2 linked regions of the Bombyx mori genome follow. The main gene of each other region encodes a partner of the protein of the gene in region 2 in a complex. Links are inferred from orthologs where the notes say so. Each region holds a gene or a part of one and is shown on either strand. Other genes may lie near its edges. The genes, in order: Rab7 and PDZ domain-containing protein 8.

Evidence for each region.
Region 1: the proteins of PDZ domain-containing protein 8 (region 2) and Rab7 are in contact, whole or in part, in a crystal structure (PDB 7F6J), measured with the Homo sapiens proteins. The link is inferred for Bombyx mori from reciprocal best matches to the Homo sapiens genes PDZD8 and RAB7A. Residues at the interface, in NP_776152.1 of Homo sapiens: Ile999, Lys1000, Leu1001, Val1002, Arg1003, Lys1004, Glu1005, Gly1007, Leu1008, Asp1009, Asp1010, Phe1013, Ile1014, Lys1017, Gln1044, Leu1051, Asn1054, Asn1055, Val1058, Leu1077, Leu1084, Gln1085, Thr1088, Ile1092; in NP_004628.4 of Homo sapiens: Lys10, Leu14, Asp16, Ser17, Lys38, Ile41, Gly42, Ala43, Asp44, Phe45, Gln60, Trp62, Gly66, Glu68, Arg69, Phe70, Gln71, Ser72, Leu73, Gly74, Val75, Ala76, Phe77, Tyr78, Arg79, Thr98, Ser101, Trp102, Glu105, Phe106.

Annotation. Positions count from the first base shown.
Region 1 is NC_085121.1:7,695,032-7,698,912, reverse strand, and holds Rab7 (Rab7), read right to left. Parts: upstream 2,659-3,881; 5' UTR 2,580-2,658; coding exon 1,953-2,579; 3' UTR 767-1,952; downstream 1-766.
Region 2 is NC_085121.1:4,642,580-4,646,413, reverse strand, and holds part of PDZ domain-containing protein 8, read right to left. Parts: intron 2,674-3,834; coding exon 2,563-2,673; intron 2,277-2,562; exon of another isoform or gene 2,190-2,276; intron 1-2,189. UniProt on the Homo sapiens protein: Molecular tethering protein that connects endoplasmic reticulum and mitochondria membranes. PDZD8-dependent endoplasmic reticulum-mitochondria membrane tethering is essential for endoplasmic reticulum-mitochondria Ca(2+) transfer.

The sequences.
Region 1 (3,881 bases), about 3.1 Mb from region 2:
CTCTAAGACGAAAAGAAAAAATCGCGAAAACTTTCATTTATTACGATACCTACTTTTATAAAAAGATAACGAAATTGTTGTTTATATTTATTTAAAAAAATACATTATGCACTATGAACACACCACGTATTGGTATAACCGAAATTTTGCTGCTTATTTTTTTATGTATATAGGTAAAGAATACATAGAGGTATAGTCGAGATGTTTCATTCAGAAAAATTACTCTCCTTTTTGTACTGGCTTCTAGTCTCTTGGATAGCACGGTTTCGCTCAACACGGGACTTTATAGGAACGTATATACAGTAGCTATAAGAGGGTTATCTGTAAAATGTTCTTCCTTCGTTGTGGAAGCTATTTGTATTAGGTAGGTACATATTTCGTTAGAAAAATTGGTAACTGCCTGAGGGATTTAAGCACCGATACTATCACATCTCTCGATAACACGACTGTGTTATCCTATAGGCCACAATGAGTTCACAAACCAACTATTGGTTAGATTTTTCCTTAAGCTATATAAATTTCTTAATTATCCATTTTTTTTTCATTTTATTGAAGTGAAAACTTCTTTAACACTGATGTGATTTACAATAGTGTACACAAAAGTAATACTGAAATTAAAAACATTATATTTTGCTAAGGTTTCACTATTACAGCATGTGAACTACAGACATGTCTATATTTATTCACAATATATAAAAACAAATAAATATACAACAATAATTAGAAACAAATTATTACTATGTTAATTCATAATTGAAACAACAAATTTATATTGGTTTATTTATTGATATAAAATTAAAAGCAACCATTATTACAGCATAATATTATATGTTAATTTTAGTTACCTTCCATTAAAACTAACTCTTAATTTACGCATTTTATGTATTAATTAATAGAACACTTGCAATTTACGTGAGTTTTTTCACATAATACTTTCTTATAAAATGCAAGGTCATGATGCTTAAAAGCCTTTAATTAAGCTTGAGGCTGAAAATTTGGCTGAAACATTTAAGCTAAAAATGTGATTAATTATTTGCATATAAAGGTTATCAAATAATATTGGAAGGATCCATATTGCAGATGATAATCACAGACTAGTCAAGGAAGAAAATGATTTGAATTGAAAGTAATCTATATTTATGTGTCATGACCTTACTATAACTTTGTTGTGTCACCGTAATATGATCTTATTTCCTGTTGCTCTTTGATCATAAAACACAACTGTTATAAGCTGAGTAATGTTATCATTAACTACTTAGAACTAATATTTAAATTCCAAATATATACATACAGAAATATTCATGCTACATGTGTTTATACTATGCAGTATATAGATTAAGATAGACTACTCCAGTTTCACAGAATTTAACAATGGTGACACAAGATGCTCTCCTTCTAGTTATAATATTATCCTCAAAACTATAGTACTATGATTGCTAAATATCATTTATCTATAAAGTAATTAAAATAAGTATGTATATCACAATATTAGAATAAAAATGAGATATGCCTATAGATAAATTCAGAGTAATCAAAGTTTTAGAGTCAAGGACAACAAATTTAGCATCATATAACTAATGTTGACAGATAAATAAAATTGATACACAAACAGAAATGGTACATTTAAATTTAATATTCTTTTCATTTGGATTGTTTATTCAACTGTTTTAAAATTGAATTGTAGAAAAAGGTGGCATAGGTATTTAAGTCAACATCAATTCTCATTTTTTTACATGTTTACAGATTACCGGAACAGAATAAAAAATTACCAGTGCATCATTTTGACAACATAATTAGGTGCATGATAAAAAATTCAAATTAAAATGTACTTATAGATTCTATACATTTTTACATGATCCATAAAACACAAGTTACTTAGTGTTACACTATGTATTTATGGATATAAAAACCAGAAACATTTTAAAAACCATGGCTGAAGCAGTAGCAGTGGTCTAGCAAGCACAGTTGTCACCGTCCCTGTTTCTTCCATTGTCATTAGCATTCAGTTTGATTTGGTCGGGGAATTCATTGTAGAGTTCAGCTTCGGTTTCTTGTGCCAATGCGTTGCGTGCTATTGTTTGAAAAGCTAGCTCTACATTGACAGCTTCTTTGGCACTTGTCTCAAAATACGGGATGTCGTTCTTGCTCTGGCACCATTGTTGACCACGTTTGACAGAAACGGCACGATTATCCAAGTCGACTTTGTTTCCCAATATTACGAAGGGGAAATTATCAGGGTCACGAGGTGATGCCTGTATCAGGAATTCGTCTCTCCAACTCTCTAAGGACTTAAACGTGTTGGGGGCAGTTACGTCAAAAACTAATACGCAGCAATCCGCCCCACGATAGAAAGCTACTCCAAGCGATTGGAACCGTTCTTGGCCAGCAGTATCCCATATTTGCATCGTAACGATTCTATCGTCAACGATTACTTCTTTTGTGAGAAAATCTGCACCTATTGTCGCCTTGTACTGGTTGGAAAATTTTTTGTTGACAAACTGATTCATCAGAGATGTTTTTCCAACACCGCTGTCACCCAGGATAATTACCTTTAGCAGGAGCTTTTTCCGTGAAGACATTTTGCACAACAATTTTTACACAATGATGAAAAATACAATTTAATCACACTCTTTGTCTGCACTTTTGACATCAAACGAAATTGATGGTAAATGCGTCACCTGTTTACTGGGTTACCAGCCGAGCGTAGAGAGCAATTACTGTTCTCTTTGGAATAGAGTACGTAGAAGCTACCAGCACATAAATGGTAAATCATTTTACATAGGTACGGTACTCTGGTAGTTTTCCAATTACAGAGCATAATGCGACTCAGTGACGCACAATGCCGAATTATGCTGAAGCTTAATTGGAACATGAATTAGTTTTCAAATGCATCAGCAGAGTGCGCTAAGTTAGCACAGTTTTAATTAACATTGATTTCTAAGAAACTACGACGAAACGAAAGCCTTACAATTTTTTTCAACATTAAATAATATTACTAACGATAATATAAACAAAATTTCGATCAATGCCAACTTAAAGAAAAAAGACTTGTCAATTTTCTGTCACAGAGTCGGTATCGATTGCAAGTATCACGCGAGAGCAGTACTTTTGAGAGTGCTCGATTGTGCGAAGAGTTGCTGTAGTTGGAACATTCAACGTTGAGCATTATGCCGCATAATGCGCTCTTGTGCTGTAATTGGAAAACTACCTCTATCTATAGATCAATAGCTGAACGTCAGCTGACATTTAGAAAAATCACACGCAGATTCAAACATATCATGCCGATTTTTAAAAAATGATGATTTCAGAAGAAATTCGAAAGGCCACCTATGAATTGATGGTCAATTGATCACCTTCAAGGCATCAAATAATGTTTTGTTTTTAACATGTTAAATTTAAATCAGACAATCAAACAACAAAAGACAAGAGTAAATATCATCTAATTTTCTTTGATGTATAAGTTAAAAGTGGGGTCAAAGCTTTATGTAAAGTACGAGTGGGAGATTTCTGCGGAAGAGAGATAGGAAGGCGGAGAGGATGAATGAGAGTGGGAGGGAGAGAGATCGAAAAAGAAAGGGAGAGAGTATCACACAGAACGCAAAAAAGTATAAATAACCTCTTGTCTCCCATAGCCGGTTTCACGTTAAGCGCTCTCTCACATGCAGTGACTTGGGGACCTGGGACAGCACCGAAGCTTGACTAGACGCATCGCAGTCGATTCACTACAAACATAGATCTGCAGCGTCCCTTGCAAGAAAATCTCAGCGCGGACAACGCTAGCTTACAGGCACGACCTCCAGTCTTTTTTTTTTTTTTTTTTTTTTTTATTGCCCTTAGTCTGGGAGGGAAGCACTGTGGAATCTTCAATACTGCTCATCACC
Region 2 (3,834 bases):
CGGGAGCGGCAGGCACGACAGAGGCTGCGGTGCTCAATGCAGAAGCTCTGCACGCAGGTACAGGCGACGCAGGAGCAGCGAGCGCGGCGGAGTCCTCGAGAGGGCTCGCAGTGCGATTGGCCTTGAAGGCCAGAAACTCTGAGGCGAGCTGTGGGTGGCGAAGTCGGAGGAATTCCGCGAATACAGCGTCCATGATCGCTGAGTACCCAGGTGGGGCGGCCCCGGGTCTTGAAAACACTCGCCTTGCGGCGAGGCCCCAACTTCTCGGACCTGAGCGGTTCTATTGAACACAGGTGGCAATGCGGCGCGATTACTACAGGACAAAGAAAAAGCACAACAAAACAGAAATTACAAAAAGAAACAAAACAAATAAATACTTGCAGGAAAACTCTTTGTCGGCAAATGTTCCACGAACACAAAAATAACTAAAACAAAACAAATAAAAGCTTCCAGGAAACACACTTGGTCGGCAGATGTATCACGAACACAGGCCGCGCGAACAATGGCCGGGCTAACAAAAGCCGGGCGAACAAAGACCGGGCGATCGAGTGGACGATGAGCACGTCCGCATGTGACGGGTGCCTCTATCGGAATGAGTCCGCCATTACATCCACAAGGTATTCGTATATTATACATGTTTTTGGTATTAGAGATTCCGTATTCGGGCAAACAATTTTTGTTATTGATTTTGAGGGGGAACTAGCTCACGGACCATCTAATGTTAAGTGGTTACCGGAGCTCATGGACATCAACAATGTTAATTCCGCCACCCACCATCAGACATAAGTTCTAAAGTCTTAGTTTCTACAGTACGGTTGCCCCACGCTTCAAGCCTTACTGCAAGTATTACTGCTTCACGATATAGTGGTGATACTTAACCGTGTGGACTCACAAGACGTCCTACCACTAGTAATTGCGCAAAAGATATTTTTTGCGGGTTTGTTTTTTATTGCAAGATTGTATTCCTTTACCGTGAACTTCAATTGTGAACATTTGTTATAGATTTCATTACAAAAATTGGTACCCGCCTGCGGGATTTCAACACAGACACAAGCATATAGCTTAATATGCGTATGCACGACGACGCTCAGAGACGTGTACCATACTCAAATCCCGGTTAACCCGTTACAATAACATTATTGGAATACAAAACGGAATAGAACCTAACTATGGAATTTTTCAGAATCGGGCCTTACCGTTGTTTAATTAATATGTTTTGTTTTTAAATACAAAATATCTTACAACTACTATTAAAACAGCTAGCGCTATATGAGTTTATGATAAAGTAGAACAAATGGCTGAAGAATATTCTAAAAAAATGATGTTTTATTTTGGGTCCATTTATGTTTGATATTTTAAAGTTTTTTGCATTTTTCTTTCTTATATCCGGGGACGAATTAGCTATTATCATTGTAATTGTCATTACATATAATTACATTTTATGAATTTAGGCTAGGCCTGAGCTACTTGCCCTCGGAATGGCGAAATTATATTCCAAATCCAGGTGGTAAAGACATGAATATTAGAAAGGGCGTGTCAGACCAAAAAAACTCGATAATAAAAACTTGAGATTTCTTGAGATTTCATATCTTCTGTTTTAAATATTTTATGTATAGAACAAAACAAAAAGCAAGTGTTATTTATTTTAATTAAGCTGTTCGTGTCAATTATACATTATTTCTTCGAAGTATTAACTATGTACAACTCTTATAATAAACTTCAAGTCGAACAATATTATTTACCATAGTTGTTATTCATTTTACCTCCACGGCCTCAGTATTTTTTTCAGTCAAATATTTTCATATTATTATTATTCTATGCAAGTGTCAAGTTCAATCGATCTTCTGTTACAGTAATTGTTTAAAAAATGCATATTTTAATTAACACTTCATTTTAGTGTTTAATAATATATATGTAATTAATTTATTCAGAAACAAAACTAAATATGGATATATATACAAATAAATAAACTATTATGTTTATTTTAACTTATGGTTCTAATTTTACGTAGTAGAATATAATGATATGTATTCTATAACAACTTGTTATTTTTATGATTTGATCATCTATTAATTGGAACGGAAATGAACAATTTTACTGCAATTTCCCAAAATAGCGGGAATGCCTTTACACAATGAGGACAAATTAGGACAGTCACGATAAACGTTGTTAAAAATATATAATAAAACCTGCACAGTCGTAGGGACAAGTCGAATGAGTCCGGGTGTGTTAGAATAGTGTATTGCTTCCCAAATGTCAGCATTCAAGCAATTCGTCTGCGCAGAAAGAACATAACCGTAAACAATAATATTAACAAAAATCAATTATATACTTAAATTTTATGTATATTGTAAATTCGATCGAGTAAATCAGTGAAAATAATAATTAAAATAAAACCGAACATAACTCGCCAAAAATCGTATTATGTTAATTAACCTTGTTAGTAGTGAAAATTTGAAATTTTAGATGATTTTTCTAGAATAATCATTTGAATTTTGAATTTTTTTTAATTCAGTCGACTTCAATTCGTTTTTGAATGGTTGTGTTTGAAATTGTTCTCACCTTCTTCATGAACTTCAAGTGAATCTTTTCTATCGGGTTCTTCGTCGGAGTCAGGATCGGGAACCGAGTCAGCTTCTGTCATAATCAGTTCAGGAGGAGGACAGCTCAAGCCTGTTAATGTATTAAACTATTACTGCGTAATTGTTTTCACGTGATACTAAAAAACTTTTTGGCATCTGAAAAGAGCGACAGTAAATTGGATAGGTATATATTGAACTTGTCCTTGACAATACGGAACGGGTGACGGCATCGCCTTAAATCGAACCATGTAAATAGGATAATTTTTCAAGATCGCACATAAATATTATTTCAAATTTTTTAACTGTTTGGACACAGAGTTCTATATTTTATTTTATGAATTTACACATCCATTTTTATTCTAACTAACACTGACCTATTTCTAAGAAAATACTATTGAGTACAGTTTCAATTATTGATATTAGGTTCTGGTATGCAAAGTAAAGAAGTAATGTAAGTATTTTATAATATTTATAAGGACGAGTAAAAGCTGCGTTTTCATATAAGATTACAGTGATTACAGTGTCCTTTTTCAACTTGTTTGGGACTCTTAGTATCAGATATTATAATAGAATATTTGATGATATTTTCCAATACTTAATTACTGTTTTTCTTAGTCCATAATTGCGTATAACCAGCGATTAATAAATTAAGCCCGTGAGTGCTGTCTAAATATCAAAATCAAAAGTATATTTATGACATTTCAAAAAAAAAAAAAACAAAATTGTCTCGCATAACAATATAGCGCCTCTGTTGAAAAATAAAGATACTCCAAACTACGATGTAAAAAGAAGTACTATATCTATAAACCGGTTCAGCATTGCTTGTCTAGATAAAGCAACACATTATTCCAAAGTGGAACGCTCTTTATTCTTCCGCATGTGTGCCGGCAATAGTCGCACACGTAACCTCTAAAAGAGTTGCCGTGTTCGTGGAATCTTTGTGTGTGTTATTTCTTACACACATTTATTGCGCACCCAAGAATCATTGCGTCGACATTACGCTCTAGATTCAGTTTGATTCAGGAAATCTAAAAGTTGAATGTTTCTTTAAACCACAAATTATGTAAGTGTGCGCTCAACTGTACTTCGCATCATGTCGTTACTCATTCGTAGTGTAATTAAAGTTACCATAATGACGTAACACAATTCTGCCCTTCTTATTCGATTTTCTACCTTAACTACACAGGTTAGGTTTCCTCTGCAAAGTAACTACTTTAATCTAAACCTAAAATAATATTAAAATCTTTATCGG